Linked DNA regions of Arabidopsis thaliana. The protein of the gene in region 1 purifies or fractionates together with the protein of each later gene. This does not show direct contact. Each region holds a gene or a part of one and is shown in the gene's direction. Other genes may lie near its edges. The genes, in order: AT2G37660, AT1G75290, AT1G75300 and AT1G75280.

The links.
Region 2: the proteins of AT2G37660 (region 1) and AT1G75290 fractionate together in Arabidopsis thaliana (co-fractionation; one large-scale study listed by BioGRID). This does not show direct contact.
Region 3: the proteins of AT2G37660 (region 1) and AT1G75300 fractionate together in Arabidopsis thaliana (co-fractionation; one large-scale study listed by BioGRID). This does not show direct contact.
Region 4: the proteins of AT2G37660 (region 1) and AT1G75280 fractionate together in Arabidopsis thaliana (co-fractionation; one large-scale study listed by BioGRID). This does not show direct contact.

The regions. Positions count from the first base shown.
Region 1 is NC_003071.7:15,794,679-15,798,950, reverse strand, and holds AT2G37660 (NAD(P)-binding Rossmann-fold superfamily protein), read left to right. Parts: upstream 1-1,891; 5' UTR 1,892-1,973; coding exon 1,974-2,238; intron 2,239-2,318; coding exon 2,319-2,590; intron 2,591-2,674; coding exon 2,675-2,711; intron 2,712-2,788; coding exon 2,789-2,886; intron 2,887-2,967; coding exon 2,968-3,029; intron 3,030-3,111; coding exon 3,112-3,235; intron 3,236-3,350; coding exon 3,351-3,470; 3' UTR 3,471-3,738; downstream 3,739-4,272. Other genes in the region: AT2G37670 (Transducin/WD40 repeat-like superfamily protein), read left to right, coding at 1-59, 149-306, 421-472, 564-646, 728-821, 888-1,567; AT2G37650 (GRAS family transcription factor), read right to left, coding at 4,172-4,272.
Region 2 is NC_003070.9:28,252,099-28,255,673, forward strand, and holds AT1G75290 (NAD(P)-binding Rossmann-fold superfamily protein), read left to right. Parts: upstream 1-1,623; 5' UTR 1,624-1,710; coding exon 1,711-1,977; intron 1,978-2,058; coding exon 2,059-2,193; intron 2,194-2,275; coding exon 2,276-2,519; intron 2,520-2,590; coding exon 2,591-2,794; exon of another isoform or gene 2,795-2,887; coding exon 2,888-3,075; downstream 3,076-3,575. Other genes in the region: AT1G75280 (NmrA-like negative transcriptional regulator family protein), read left to right, coding at 1-117, 202-336, 489-732, 809-1,012, 1,094-1,257; AT1G75300 (NmrA-like negative transcriptional regulator family protein), read left to right, coding at 3,454-3,575.
Region 3 is NC_003070.9:28,253,758-28,257,625, forward strand, and holds AT1G75300 (NmrA-like negative transcriptional regulator family protein), read left to right. Parts: upstream 1-1,737; 5' UTR 1,738-1,794; coding exon 1,795-1,980; exon of another isoform or gene 1,981-2,055; coding exon 2,056-2,190; exon of another isoform or gene 2,191-2,322; coding exon 2,323-2,608; intron 2,609-2,697; coding exon 2,698-2,901; exon of another isoform or gene 2,902-3,012; coding exon 3,013-3,170; 3' UTR 3,171-3,283; downstream 3,284-3,868. Other genes in the region: AT1G75290 (NAD(P)-binding Rossmann-fold superfamily protein), read left to right, coding at 52-318, 400-534, 617-860, 932-1,135, 1,229-1,416.
Region 4 is NC_003070.9:28,249,692-28,254,186, forward strand, and holds AT1G75280 (NmrA-like negative transcriptional regulator family protein), read left to right. Parts: upstream 1-1,934; 5' UTR 1,935-2,338; coding exon 2,339-2,524; intron 2,525-2,608; coding exon 2,609-2,743; intron 2,744-2,895; coding exon 2,896-3,139; intron 3,140-3,215; coding exon 3,216-3,419; intron 3,420-3,500; coding exon 3,501-3,664; 3' UTR 3,665-3,995; downstream 3,996-4,495. Other genes in the region: DHAR2 (dehydroascorbate reductase 2), read right to left, coding at 564-1,056, 1,247-1,337, 1,489-1,546; AT1G75290 (NAD(P)-binding Rossmann-fold superfamily protein), read left to right, coding at 4,118-4,384, 4,466-4,495.

The DNA.
Region 1 (4,272 bases):
CAGGTTATGGGATATAGAAACCAAAACATGTCTCAAACTGTTTGCCCATAATGACTATGGTAAGACAAATCTTTTGTATCCTATCTTCACATCTAGCTATTAATTTTCTGCATGCACTTTTGACTATATTGTCTCATTGATTCAACAGTGACATGTATTCAGTTCAGTCCAGTGGATGAAAATTATTTCTTAAGTGGTTCACTTGACGCTAAAATAAGGATATGGAGCATACAAGATCGACATGTTGTGGAATGGAGTGATCTTCATGAAATGGTTACTGCTGCTTGCTACACACCAGACGGTCAGGTATTTGCTCTGTTTTTTTGCTCTGTTTTTTGCTCTGTTTCTTGGAGTAGTCTACAAAATCCATCCATTATGGTGTTTTTATAATGATGGAAGTTTTGGTTTTTTCGGTTGAAGGGTGCACTTATCGGGTCACATAAAGGAATTTGTCGTGCTTACGATACAGAAGGTTCTTCCTAAGCTCTTTCTGTATCAAACATCATGTTTACCAGTTGAATACTTCTTTTCATTGCGACGCGCTTTTTTCTTCTGTAGAACAGATTGTAAGCTGAGCCAAACTAATCAGATTGATGTTCAGAGCAACAAGAAATCACAAGCGAAAAGGAAGATCACTAGTTTTCAGGTTCCTTTCTTTAAAAGCCAAAATCCTTCTTAAGACTTTAGTAAACTAAAATGTTAACAAGTTGTTGATGCCATTATATAGTTTTCCCCGGTGAATCCATCTGAAGTTCTTGTCACATCCGCTGATTCACGGATTCGAATACTAGACGGTTCTGAAGTTATTCACAAATTCAAAGGTAAATTCTCTACAAGCACTAGAGCCAAGATGAACAAAAACAAAAACTGATACTTTTTGTTGACAGGCTTTAGAAACACATGTAGCCAACTCTCTGCTTCGTATAGCCAAGATGGGAAATACATAATATGTGCGAGTGAAGACTCTCAAGTTTACTTATGGAAGAATGACTTTCACCGAACAAGATCAACACTCACGACACAATCTCACGAACATTTTCATTGCAAAGATGTCTCAGCCGCTGTTCCTTGGCATGGTCATGTTAGAGGTGAGCCACCACCAGTTCAGATTCACTCTAAACGCCACTCAAAGCGCATATCTACTTCAAGCCAGCCTTCATCCACCATAAGCTCACCAACAAAAGAAGAAACCTCGGCGACTGGACCAACTACATCTAACCGGAATAAAAAATCAGGGTTACCTCCAATGCCTAAGAAAGCCGCTACAAAGAGTCAGATTCAACCAGAGGAAGAGGCAGGACCGGAGCTGGGAAGCAGTGAGTCGTTTCGGTCGAGTATGAACTCTTCGGAGCAGCATTCATCGAGGTTTGGGGAATCTCCATCGATAAACACATCGTCAAGGTTATCTTCTTGGTCATGGTTCGACAGTGGAGGGCATGGTCCGCAAACTATACAGCCAACGGCTTGGGGGATGGTGATTGTGACGGCTACAGTTCATGGTGAGATCCGATCTTATCAAAACTTTGGTTTACCGAGAAGAATCGGTCGCCAAACTACTCTGTTTTGATTTTAAAAAGGAAGGAACCGGTGTTTTATTTTTCTTGATTTGTATCTTTGTTGCTTGTAGAGTACGTAAAGAAACCTTCTTATACAGAAACAACCGTCTTATAGTGTTGAGAAACCTCTCTCGACGTTCAAAATATTGAGTTGTATACACAGAGAAAAATTTGTGTAGTTCTCCAAATATAAATCAAACAGTAAAACTATGTTACTTCAATTAATTAGATGTTCTTCGATCATTCGTGGGAGATAGGCCATGGCCCATTTTAAAATCAGGCCCGTTTAAAGCGTAATTAGAATGAAACAAAAAGACAAATATAATTCAAAAGATAAGGTGACGTGGCGAAAATCGGAAATTTTGCGATATTTCTCACTCTCTCGTCTTCTTCGTCTGAGCTATCAAACTCCAGTCAATGGCGATGATGACGACGACGACGACAACATTCTTCCATCCACTACTTCCTGCTAACACTTACAAATCCGGAGCTGTAGCTTCTTCCTTTGTCTCAGTTCCTCGTTCGTCGTCTCTCCAATTTCGCTCACTTGTGTCAGATTCTACGTCGATTTGTGGTCCAAGTAAGTTCACCGGAAAAAACAGAAGAGTATCGGTTACCGTTTCCGCCGCCGCAACAACTGAACCTCTCACCGTCCTCGTTACCGGTGCCGGTGGAAGAACAGGTTCTCTCTCTTTATCTCTACAATGTGGTATTGTGAAATTCCATAAGAACACTGTTCAATATTGATGGTGACTGTGACAGGACAAATTGTGTATAAGAAATTGAAGGAGAGGTCGGAGCAGTTCGTGGCAAGGGGTTTAGTGAGGACAAAGGAGAGTAAGGAGAAGATCAATGGAGAGGATGAAGTATTCATTGGAGATATTAGAGATACTGCATCAATTGCTCCTGCTGTTGAAGGGATTGATGCTTTGGTCATTCTTACTAGCGCTGTTCCGCAGATGAAGCCCGGTTTTGATCCTAGTAAAGGAGGAAGACCTGAGTTCTTCTTTGATGATGGAGCTTATCCAGAACAGGTGACTACATTGATCTTAGTGTAGTGTGTTCTTGTGGATTTCTTCATTTCTTCTTGGTTTTTGAATTCATGATTTTGTTTGTAGGTTGACTGGATTGGTCAGAAGAATCAGATAGACGCTGGTTTGTATTCATCATCTCTGTTGTATGTGTGTTTAGCGGAGGTGTTGATGATGATGGATTGTCGTTTGTTGTAACAGCTAAGGCTGCAGGAGTTAAGCAGATTGTTTTGGTTGGGTCGATGGGAGGAACAAACATTAATCACCCTCTCAATAGTATTGGCAATGCTAACATTCTGGTGAGACTACTCTTTCTCTGTTTTCTTGAACACAGAGATGAGTTTCACGGCAAATGTTCACAGTCTTTATGCAATTTGTAGGTCTGGAAGAGAAAGGCTGAGCAATACTTGGCTGATTCCGGTATTCCATACACCATCATCAGGTAACTTTTATTGTTTACTTGCATCCGGTACAAATTGCAATGGCGGAATATTCTCATCTTGCAATATTGCTCTTGGATTCAGGGCTGGAGGTCTGCAGGACAAGGACGGTGGCATTCGAGAATTACTTGTGGGAAAAGATGACGAGCTACTTGAGACAGAAACAAGAACAATCGCAAGAGCTGATGTTGCAGAAGTCTGTGTTCAGGTGTGTGTTCATTATGACCAAAAGGGCTTCGTAAACTGCATAATCCATCAACAGTTACCATATCTTTTAAACCAGTTTTGCTTCTCCTAATCCATGGTGTTTATTATTTGAGCAGGCATTGCAGCTTGAGGAGGCAAAATTCAAAGCTCTTGACCTGGCCTCAAAGCCCGAGGGAACAGGCACCCCAACAAAGGATTTCAAGGCGCTTTTCACTCAAGTAACCACTAAGTTCTGATTAAGTATTTTTTTGTTCCCTTTGTCATTGTAGCAAAGTCCTAGAATTGACACTGAGAGGGATGAGTTCTTTATGTGTCTGAACCGGCTCTTTCTATTTCTCAAGATGTCTTGCCCTAGAATCTCTAAGTAACATCAAAAGCTTTTGAAATATCTTTAGAGATCATCAAAACTCGCTAATAGTATTGAGGGACCACAACTAATAACTAGGAGCTCAAGTTCCAAGCAGAAGAGTTTTCCAGAAATAGTAAAACATCTTATTTCAATGCAACATTGGTTCTCGTGTGTACATTGGAGAAGGAAAAAACTTCTCTTTAAACCATAGTTTCTCTAAGCTTCCTCTTATATGTGTTACAATCTAGACAAACTAACTCTGCTAGCAATATACAAACAATCTGATCACCCTAGCTACAAGAATACCGTTAGGAGAATCTAGCTGAGAAACAACAAAAACACAGCTAGAAAGTTATAAAACAGGACTTACATCAATATTATCTTTGAACAAGTTCTTTGTGCAGCATTCTCTTCTTACATCTGCAAAAGAGATAACACAGTCTCAGTACAATGCCTAGAAAGAATTCTGATGGTATTAATAAAGCTATGTGAATATGAATCCGAGTTGTACCTGTAATTCTGTCTCTGGGAATTACACAGGAAGAAAATCAAGAGATGGTCTCTCATATGCCAACGAGGATTTCTCGGTCAAGCCTTGGACTCTGGTTTCCAAACAGAAAGAGCCATGACAGTTCTTCCCTTCCAGCCTTGCAAGAGCCACCGGTTATCTTGATCGATCACAAAATCCT
Region 2 (3,575 bases), on another chromosome or scaffold:
GCGAGCGCCAAAGCTGGCCACTCCACATTCGCTCTCGTTAGAGAAGCAACTCTATCCGATCCTGTCAAGGGCAAAACCGTCCAGAGTTTCAAAGATCTCGGCGTCACAATACTACACGTACGCTTTAACTTTATACACTCTGTTTCATTCATTCATATAAGTTTTTCATAACCATAACTTTTAGTTATATGACTTGGTCAGGGAGATTTGAATGATCACGAGAGCTTAGTGAAGGCTATTAAACAGGTTGATGTGGTGATATCTACCGTTGGGAGCATGCAAATCTTGGATCAAACCAAGATCATTTCCGCCATCAAAGAAGCCGGTAATGTCAAGGTCAGTATTTCATATTACCTTGATTCAAACCCCATTACATATAAACAGAGTCCAATGTTTTGATTTTTTTTTTTTCTTTTTTTAATGAAAGAGTAGTTCTAGAGGGATCTAATTGCATATATATAGTTTCATATTGGATATGTTATTTGCAGAGATTCTTGCCGTCTGAGTTTGGGGTGGATGTGGATAGGACGAGTGCGGTTGAGCCAGCTAAATCGGCTTTTGCAGGGAAGATACAGATCAGGAGAACCATCGAAGCGGAAGGAATACCATACACTTACGCTGTTACCGGTTGCTTTGGTGGTTACTACTTGCCAACATTGGTTCAGTTCGAGCCTGGTCTCACTTCTCCTCCTAGAGACAAAGTCACCATTCTTGGCGATGGAAATGCCAAAGGTTAGTAGTTTCAAGAATCCAAACACTTATAACGTGGCCTATACAGTTTAATCTAACACCGTAGAATATTTCGCAGCTGTGATCAACAAAGAGGAAGATATTGCTGCTTACACGATCAAGGCGGTGGATGATCCTAGGACTCTGAACAAAATCCTATACATTAAGCCTTCTAACAACACTTTATCGATGAACGAAATAGTCACCTTGTGGGAGAAAAAGATTGGCAAGTCTCTTGAGAAGACTCACCTCCCAGAGGAACAACTACTTAAAAGCATCCAAGGTTTAGATAATCAATTCACAAAGAGGTTTTTAGATTCTTTATTAATTACTCATTCTGAATTAAATGATTATCTTTTGGCAGAGTCTCCGATTCCCATCAATGTTGTTCTGTCGATAAACCACGCGGTGTTTGTGAATGGAGATACCAATATCAGTATAGAGCCTTCCTTTGGTGTGGAAGCCTCTGAGCTTTACCCTGATGTCAAGTACACAAGTGTTGACGAGTATCTCAGTTATTTCGCTTGATGAACTTCATTATAAACGTAATTTACCACCATGACGCGCTAGTTTCATGTTCTGTATCAATAAAAGAATGGTTCTTGTAATGGTGAATGTGTGTGTGTATGTGTGACTAATCAGTAATCACAGTGCTTTACCTCTGTTTCCGAGCTTCCCAAGAAATATGAATTAGTAATATATAATTCATACCTATAGTCTATACATGATTATCAATATGTTAGGTACCTAAGGTTTTTATTCAAATCAATTTTAATAATACCTAAATCAAATATTTTTGTATCCAAATCAGAAAAAATATATATCAAACCTTGAGTTTGGTAATAGAATTTGAATTTGGTCATGTCCATTGTCTAGATTCAGCGAAAATAAAAAGGGAACCAAAAAATAAATCTCAATTTTGTAATTAAAGAAAGGTTAGGTAAGGGTATTATCGTAGTTCTATCTTAAATCAACCGACCAATGTTTTGGTCCGTAAAGCGCTATTCCTTCGCTCCCAAAATCATTCACTTAGCATTCAATTATCACGTTTCGAATCTAAACATGGCGTCAGAGAAAAGCAAGATTCTGGTGATCGGAGGGACTGGTCACATCGGAAAACTCATTATAGAAGCGAGCGTGAAAGCCGGACACTCCACACTGGCTCTCGTTAGAGAAGCCTCGCTCTCCGATCCCAACAAGGGCAAAACCGTCCAGAATTTCAAAGATTTTGGCGTCACATTACTTCACGTACGCTTGATCCTTTCGTTAATAAGTTTCATACAAATTCAATAACCATAACCTTAGTTATGTATATGATAACTTGGTCAGGGGGATTTGAACGATCATGAGAGCTTAGTGAAGGCCATTAAACAGGCCGATGTGGTTATATCAACCGTTGGGAGCATGCAAATCTTGGATCAAACCAAGATCATTTCAGCTATTAAAGAAGCCGGTAACGTCAAGGTCAGATCTTGATACAAACCCTTAACATATAAAAAATCGAATTGCATAAGACCAAATTTGTACATAGTTTCATGTTTTGCAGAGATTCTTGCCGTCTGAGTTTGGGATGGACGTGGACAAGTCAAGTGCGGTTGAGCCTGCGAAATCGGCTTTTGGGAGGAAACTACAGACAAGGAGAGACATAGAAGCGGAAGGAATACCATACACTTACCTTGTTACCAATTACTTTGCTGGTTACTACTTGCCCACATTGGTTCAGCTGGAGCCAGGTCTCACTTCTCCTCCTAGAGATAAAGTCAAAATTTTCGGAGATGGAAATGTCAAAGGTTAGTTTCATATCATTAACATTACTGTGCTTTTTATGCAATTGAATCTAACACAGTCGAATATTTCATAGCTGTGATCAACAAGGAGGAAGATATTGCTGCTTACACTATCAAAGCGGTGGATGATCCAAGGACTCTGAATAAAACCCTCTACATTAATCCTCCTAACAACACTTTATCGATGAACGAAATAGTCACCTTGTGGGAGAAAAAGATTGGCAAGTCTGTTGAGAAGATTTACATGTCAGAGGAACAAATCTTTAAAAGCATCCAAGGTTCAGAAAATCAATTCACCAAGAGGTCTTTCGATTCTTTATAACTACCGTTTTTTCATTTTCTAGAATATGAAGATCTTTCTCTTTTTGCAGAGTCTCCGGTTCCCTTCAACGTTCTTCTGTCGATAAACCACGCGGTGTTTGTGAAAGGAGATCAGACCAATTTCACTATAGAGCCTTCATTCGGTTTTGAAGCCTCTGAGCTTTACCCTGATATCAAGTACACGAGTATTGATGAGTATCTCAGTTATTTCGCTTTAGGAACTTCATTAAACACCTAATTTACCACCATAACGCTAGCTGCTTTCATGTTTGTATCAATAAAAAATGATTCTTGCAATGTGTGTGACTAATCACAGTGCTTTATCTCTATATGCATCCATCTTTAAGCCATTTTTACGGTCTATAAAGCTGTGTAAAACCACAAAATATCTCACAATTTTACATATGGTCAAATGAGAAAATTTGGATTTAACGAGCATAACATGTTTATCATGGGAGTCAACATCTATGCACCACATGAGATGTTGAGTGAGGGTATTGTTGTCAATCAACCAACAAATTCTGTCCATAAATTGCCTTGCCAACGCCACTCAAATTCCACAGCATTATTGAATTTAGTAGTACACACAATCATTAGTCATTACCACGTTTGAAACATGACGACGGAGAAAAGCAAGATTCTGGTGATCGGAGGGACTGGTTACATGGGAGAATTCATCGTTGAAGGGAGCGCGAAAGCCGGTAACCCAACATTCGCTCTTGTCCGAGAAGCATCTCT
Region 3 (3,868 bases), on another chromosome or scaffold:
GAAAGGTTAGGTAAGGGTATTATCGTAGTTCTATCTTAAATCAACCGACCAATGTTTTGGTCCGTAAAGCGCTATTCCTTCGCTCCCAAAATCATTCACTTAGCATTCAATTATCACGTTTCGAATCTAAACATGGCGTCAGAGAAAAGCAAGATTCTGGTGATCGGAGGGACTGGTCACATCGGAAAACTCATTATAGAAGCGAGCGTGAAAGCCGGACACTCCACACTGGCTCTCGTTAGAGAAGCCTCGCTCTCCGATCCCAACAAGGGCAAAACCGTCCAGAATTTCAAAGATTTTGGCGTCACATTACTTCACGTACGCTTGATCCTTTCGTTAATAAGTTTCATACAAATTCAATAACCATAACCTTAGTTATGTATATGATAACTTGGTCAGGGGGATTTGAACGATCATGAGAGCTTAGTGAAGGCCATTAAACAGGCCGATGTGGTTATATCAACCGTTGGGAGCATGCAAATCTTGGATCAAACCAAGATCATTTCAGCTATTAAAGAAGCCGGTAACGTCAAGGTCAGATCTTGATACAAACCCTTAACATATAAAAAATCGAATTGCATAAGACCAAATTTGTACATAGTTTCATGTTTTGCAGAGATTCTTGCCGTCTGAGTTTGGGATGGACGTGGACAAGTCAAGTGCGGTTGAGCCTGCGAAATCGGCTTTTGGGAGGAAACTACAGACAAGGAGAGACATAGAAGCGGAAGGAATACCATACACTTACCTTGTTACCAATTACTTTGCTGGTTACTACTTGCCCACATTGGTTCAGCTGGAGCCAGGTCTCACTTCTCCTCCTAGAGATAAAGTCAAAATTTTCGGAGATGGAAATGTCAAAGGTTAGTTTCATATCATTAACATTACTGTGCTTTTTATGCAATTGAATCTAACACAGTCGAATATTTCATAGCTGTGATCAACAAGGAGGAAGATATTGCTGCTTACACTATCAAAGCGGTGGATGATCCAAGGACTCTGAATAAAACCCTCTACATTAATCCTCCTAACAACACTTTATCGATGAACGAAATAGTCACCTTGTGGGAGAAAAAGATTGGCAAGTCTGTTGAGAAGATTTACATGTCAGAGGAACAAATCTTTAAAAGCATCCAAGGTTCAGAAAATCAATTCACCAAGAGGTCTTTCGATTCTTTATAACTACCGTTTTTTCATTTTCTAGAATATGAAGATCTTTCTCTTTTTGCAGAGTCTCCGGTTCCCTTCAACGTTCTTCTGTCGATAAACCACGCGGTGTTTGTGAAAGGAGATCAGACCAATTTCACTATAGAGCCTTCATTCGGTTTTGAAGCCTCTGAGCTTTACCCTGATATCAAGTACACGAGTATTGATGAGTATCTCAGTTATTTCGCTTTAGGAACTTCATTAAACACCTAATTTACCACCATAACGCTAGCTGCTTTCATGTTTGTATCAATAAAAAATGATTCTTGCAATGTGTGTGACTAATCACAGTGCTTTATCTCTATATGCATCCATCTTTAAGCCATTTTTACGGTCTATAAAGCTGTGTAAAACCACAAAATATCTCACAATTTTACATATGGTCAAATGAGAAAATTTGGATTTAACGAGCATAACATGTTTATCATGGGAGTCAACATCTATGCACCACATGAGATGTTGAGTGAGGGTATTGTTGTCAATCAACCAACAAATTCTGTCCATAAATTGCCTTGCCAACGCCACTCAAATTCCACAGCATTATTGAATTTAGTAGTACACACAATCATTAGTCATTACCACGTTTGAAACATGACGACGGAGAAAAGCAAGATTCTGGTGATCGGAGGGACTGGTTACATGGGAGAATTCATCGTTGAAGGGAGCGCGAAAGCCGGTAACCCAACATTCGCTCTTGTCCGAGAAGCATCTCTCTCTGATCCTGTCAAGAGCAAAACCATCCAGAGCTTCAAAGATCTCGGTGTCACAATACTACACGTATGCATGAACTCTCACTCTCTAACATGTTTCATACAAACTCAAAACCATAACCTAGTTATGTAACTTGGACAGGGAGATTTGAATGATCATGAGAGCTTAGTTAAGGCCATTAAACAGGTTGATGTGGTGATATCAACCATCGGGCACAAGCAAATCTTTGATCAAACCAAGATCATTTCCGCCATTAAAGAAGCTGGTAACGTCAAGGTTGGTATTTGATTCAAACCTCAATACATATAAATGGCAATCCGATTAGCATATGATCTAACTGAAAATAGTTATGAGAAAAAATCCAGCTGAACATAACCTCTTACTAGATTTATAGTTTTTGCTTTGCAGAGATTCTTGCCGGCTGAGTTTGGGATAGACGTTGAGAGGACCAGTGCGGTTGAGCCGGCAAAATCATTATTTGCAGGGAAGGTACAGATCAGGAGAGCCATTGAAGCTGAAGGAATACCATACACTTACGTTGTTAGCAATTGCTCTGCCGGTTTTTACTTGCGTACGTTACTTCAGTTCGAGTCTGGTCTCATTTCTCATACTAGAGACAAGGCCATCATCTTTGGCGACAAAAATGTTCCTCCTAGAGACAAAGTCACCATATTAGGCGATGGAAATGCCAAAGGTTGAGAATTTTATAATGTAACAGAACGTATAATCTATTTTTTTTTATAAAGATTCTTATGTAACAAGTTTTTTAAATTGATTTTGCAGTTGTGATCAACAAAGAGGAAGATGTTGCAGCTTACATGATCAAGGCGGTGGATGATCTAAGGACTCTGAACAAAACCCTCTACATTAGTCCTCCTAACAACATTTTATCGATGAACGAAATGGTCACCTTGTGGGAGAAAAAGATCGGCAAGTCTCTTGAGAAGACTCACATATCAGAAGAGCAAATCCTTAAAAGCATCCAAGGTTAGAAATTAATAACATACCACAATTCACCAAGAAGTCGTTTAAATTCTTTATTACCATTTTTTTTCATTTGCTGAATTAAAAGATATGTTCTTTTTGCGTACTCTCCAGTTCCCATCGATGTTTTCAAGTCTATAAACCACGCGGTGTTTGTGAAGGGAGATCAGACCAGTTTCACAATAGAGCCTTGGTTCGGTGAAGAAGCCTCTGTGCTTTACCCTGATGTCAAGTACACGAGTATTGATGAGTATCTCAGTCAATTCACTTGAGAACAATTCACAAAAACAAATCACAAAACAATAAAAACTGATTCTTGTACGTGTGAAATTGATTAATCAAGCAAAATGTAAAGTTTTGTGAACTCAAGCTAATATATTACACTAAAATTGAATACTTTTAATAGTATCTTGTGTCAATTACAAGATATAGGGAAAGGTCGAGACAGACGCACCTGGGTAGTGGGGCTTTTCGGCGAATCGATCGCCGGCGAGAGACGGAGAAACTGAGAAAGAGTGGCAGATGATGATAGCTCATCGTCCTAATACGACGCTGTTTCAGTCTTTCAACTCCTACAAAACCTTCTGCCTGATTCAGAGCTTTTCATTATGGGCTCTTGTTGGGCCTGAGACGATGTGTGATTCTTGTTAAAGAGAAAAAACAGCGAAGTAGGCGAAGCATGTGATTGGGTGTGATGTGAATATGCAATGCATATGGCTAAGAGATTCTCTCAGAATACTTTTAAGGAAAGCAACTGAAAACACTTTAGAGATTGGAAAAGCCATGACACATTAGGTTTTTCATGATACCATAACCTATCAAAAAGCATGAAACATCTTTAATTTAATATAAAAAAGGAACGAAAATAATGACGATGCATCATGCATGTATTGTAGTATCGTGGGGTCTATCTTTGTGCTTTGACTGACATAATTAGATTCTCGATCGTATGGCTTTGATTTACTTTTCT
Region 4 (4,495 bases), on another chromosome or scaffold:
TGTGGGAGAGCAAGGTTGGTAAAAATCTGGAGAAGACTTACGTTTCATAGGAGAAACTTCTCAAGAAAATCCCAGGTGAGAGAGATAATTTTGACACTCTTTTTTACCAAACATAAACAATTAAGATCAGGTGTTTGCTAATACTTGAAATGTTGCAGAGTCTCCACATCCACTTGATCTTCTGTTGGCTTTAAATCATGCCATTTTTGTGAAAGGAGATCAAACCTATTTTACAGTAGAGCCTTACTTTGAAGTGGAAGCTTCTCAGCTTTATCCAGATATCAAGTACACAAGCGTCGATGAGTAACTCAGCCAGTTTGTCTGAAACTATAGCATCATCATCTTGTAGCAGGCATTTACTAATAATCAAGAGATTGACCATTGGACTGTAATACCAAATTGAATAAGAGGTGTATATTATCAAAAAAAGATATGCTGCTTTATCGCATCATTATTGATAACCAACTCTAACAAAAACAAGAACACACACATACTCGTGCATTCTTATTATTCAGTGAAGAATAGTTCTAAAGCAACATTAACTAGAGAAGCATGGATCCACATCACGCATTCACCTTCGATTCCCAACCCGCAACCACAATCTCTTTCTTAGCCTTGGTGTTCTCAAACGACTCCCTAGAGAACAAAGCCTTGGCGTAGTTACGAACACTGGTCAAGCTCTCAGGGACAGACCAGTTCTTGTAATGACCAAGAGCAACCTCAAGATGGTAAAGCTTTGGTGCTAAACTCAAATCCACTGCAGTAATCTTCTCTCCAGCTACAAAAGGACCAGAATGTGTCTTCAAGTGATTCTCCAACGCTTCTAACTCATCAACCAAAGCCTTCTCGGATCCGTCATTAGCGTCTTTGCTCTTCAAGAAAGTCACAAAAGCACCAAAGATTTTGGATCCTACAGAAGCAAATTCAGGAGGAGTCTTGAGAGAAGGCTCTGGATATTTCTCTTCAAGAAGTCCAACAATTACGTCAGAATCAGCCACCCATTTGCCATCAAGCTTCACCACCGGAACTTTCCCCTCTGGACTAATGTCTAAGAACCTATAAAACACAAAAATTTCAGAGAAATCTATCAAAAGCCCACAAATTTACAGAAGATACAGAATCTTTTAGTGTCCAAAACACAATAAAAGTTGTAACTTTTCATCCAAATTATACAGCTTTCGATTTGGGGATTACTTATTAAGCTAATCAAATCTCCATCAGTAATCATTGGTATCACAGAACGTACCATTGGGGTTTGTCGGAGACGTTAATCAGATGGGTCTTGTAGGGAAGCTTCTTCTCCTCAAGTGTCAGAAGAACACGTTGGCTAAACGGACCTGAGAAAAAGAAATCGAGATTTCATAGAATAAAGCACACGCATTTGAATAGATCACAGATCAAAAACCCTAATTTAAGAAATCAAAGCTTGATGTGGACAAACAAAACGGAGATCGATGATTGGAGAAAGGATAGAGAGAGAGAACATACAGTCGCCGAGAACATCAGGAGCACCGACGGCAACCTTCACGCAGATATCTAGAGCCATCGATCTTTCTTCGATTTTTTAGAAAACTTATCCCACGGAGTCGAAGAATTATAATTCTCGTTTTAAAAGCAAAATATGAATGAAATAGGCAAAAATGTCTTTCAAATAAAATACAAGGAAAACGAAATCTTTGGTCTTTAAATATGTTCATGAAATTTGTGACGTCATTGATGAAGTGGCTGTTACGATATATTCGAACCTTCTCCAATTGGTTAGTCTCCTTCTTTTTTTTGCACCAATCAAATGGTCAAATCATTGTCCAAGTGTTACCAATACAAACCAAAATTGATGTTAGAATGTATTTGTCAATGAATTTGATCTATATTGTGTCCAGATTCCATATATAAGTACACTATAAACCAGTCTACTAATTCCTTTCTCTCTTCTGGTTTAAGGCTTCGGTTTGCTATGTACCAGTTTAGTTTGCGTATGACCAAACCCCCTTAAGCTCACTAACGATCCTGTTGGGGGCTAAGGGTTGGGGACCTGGGGTCAATCGATTAAGTTTATTTAAATAATGGTTACGATCATAGTTATAAGGTTTTAACCTTCCGGTTAACCAGTGATTATTTTAGCTAATTAGGATTTTAATAAGAATTTTGATGGGGAGGCACGAACAAGAAATGAATATCTTAGAATTGAAGTAAGGTTCAGTAAGGGTATTATCGTAAATCAACCAAACAATGTCTGGTCCATAAATTGCGGTGCCCAAACCATTCCTTCAAGCACATTCCAAATCATTTTCTTACCACTCAAAGAGTGCGCACTCATTATCATCGTTTGAAACTAAACATGGCGACGGAGAAAAGCAAGATTCTGGTGATCGGAGGAACTGGTTACATCGGGAAATTCCTAGTAGAAGCGAGCGCCAAAGCTGGCCACTCCACATTCGCTCTCGTTAGAGAAGCAACTCTATCCGATCCTGTCAAGGGCAAAACCGTCCAGAGTTTCAAAGATCTCGGCGTCACAATACTACACGTACGCTTTAACTTTATACACTCTGTTTCATTCATTCATATAAGTTTTTCATAACCATAACTTTTAGTTATATGACTTGGTCAGGGAGATTTGAATGATCACGAGAGCTTAGTGAAGGCTATTAAACAGGTTGATGTGGTGATATCTACCGTTGGGAGCATGCAAATCTTGGATCAAACCAAGATCATTTCCGCCATCAAAGAAGCCGGTAATGTCAAGGTCAGTATTTCATATTACCTTGATTCAAACCCCATTACATATAAACAGAGTCCAATGTTTTGATTTTTTTTTTTTCTTTTTTTAATGAAAGAGTAGTTCTAGAGGGATCTAATTGCATATATATAGTTTCATATTGGATATGTTATTTGCAGAGATTCTTGCCGTCTGAGTTTGGGGTGGATGTGGATAGGACGAGTGCGGTTGAGCCAGCTAAATCGGCTTTTGCAGGGAAGATACAGATCAGGAGAACCATCGAAGCGGAAGGAATACCATACACTTACGCTGTTACCGGTTGCTTTGGTGGTTACTACTTGCCAACATTGGTTCAGTTCGAGCCTGGTCTCACTTCTCCTCCTAGAGACAAAGTCACCATTCTTGGCGATGGAAATGCCAAAGGTTAGTAGTTTCAAGAATCCAAACACTTATAACGTGGCCTATACAGTTTAATCTAACACCGTAGAATATTTCGCAGCTGTGATCAACAAAGAGGAAGATATTGCTGCTTACACGATCAAGGCGGTGGATGATCCTAGGACTCTGAACAAAATCCTATACATTAAGCCTTCTAACAACACTTTATCGATGAACGAAATAGTCACCTTGTGGGAGAAAAAGATTGGCAAGTCTCTTGAGAAGACTCACCTCCCAGAGGAACAACTACTTAAAAGCATCCAAGGTTTAGATAATCAATTCACAAAGAGGTTTTTAGATTCTTTATTAATTACTCATTCTGAATTAAATGATTATCTTTTGGCAGAGTCTCCGATTCCCATCAATGTTGTTCTGTCGATAAACCACGCGGTGTTTGTGAATGGAGATACCAATATCAGTATAGAGCCTTCCTTTGGTGTGGAAGCCTCTGAGCTTTACCCTGATGTCAAGTACACAAGTGTTGACGAGTATCTCAGTTATTTCGCTTGATGAACTTCATTATAAACGTAATTTACCACCATGACGCGCTAGTTTCATGTTCTGTATCAATAAAAGAATGGTTCTTGTAATGGTGAATGTGTGTGTGTATGTGTGACTAATCAGTAATCACAGTGCTTTACCTCTGTTTCCGAGCTTCCCAAGAAATATGAATTAGTAATATATAATTCATACCTATAGTCTATACATGATTATCAATATGTTAGGTACCTAAGGTTTTTATTCAAATCAATTTTAATAATACCTAAATCAAATATTTTTGTATCCAAATCAGAAAAAATATATATCAAACCTTGAGTTTGGTAATAGAATTTGAATTTGGTCATGTCCATTGTCTAGATTCAGCGAAAATAAAAAGGGAACCAAAAAATAAATCTCAATTTTGTAATTAAAGAAAGGTTAGGTAAGGGTATTATCGTAGTTCTATCTTAAATCAACCGACCAATGTTTTGGTCCGTAAAGCGCTATTCCTTCGCTCCCAAAATCATTCACTTAGCATTCAATTATCACGTTTCGAATCTAAACATGGCGTCAGAGAAAAGCAAGATTCTGGTGATCGGAGGGACTGGTCACATCGGAAAACTCATTATAGAAGCGAGCGTGAAAGCCGGACACTCCACACTGGCTCTCGTTAGAGAAGCCTCGCTCTCCGATCCCAACAAGGGCAAAACCGTCCAGAATTTCAAAGATTTTGGCGTCACATTACTTCACGTACGCTTGATCCTTTCGTTAATAAGTTTCATACAAATTCAATAACCATAACCTTAGTTATGTATATGATAACTTGGTCAGGGGGATTTGAACGATCATGAGAGCTTAGTG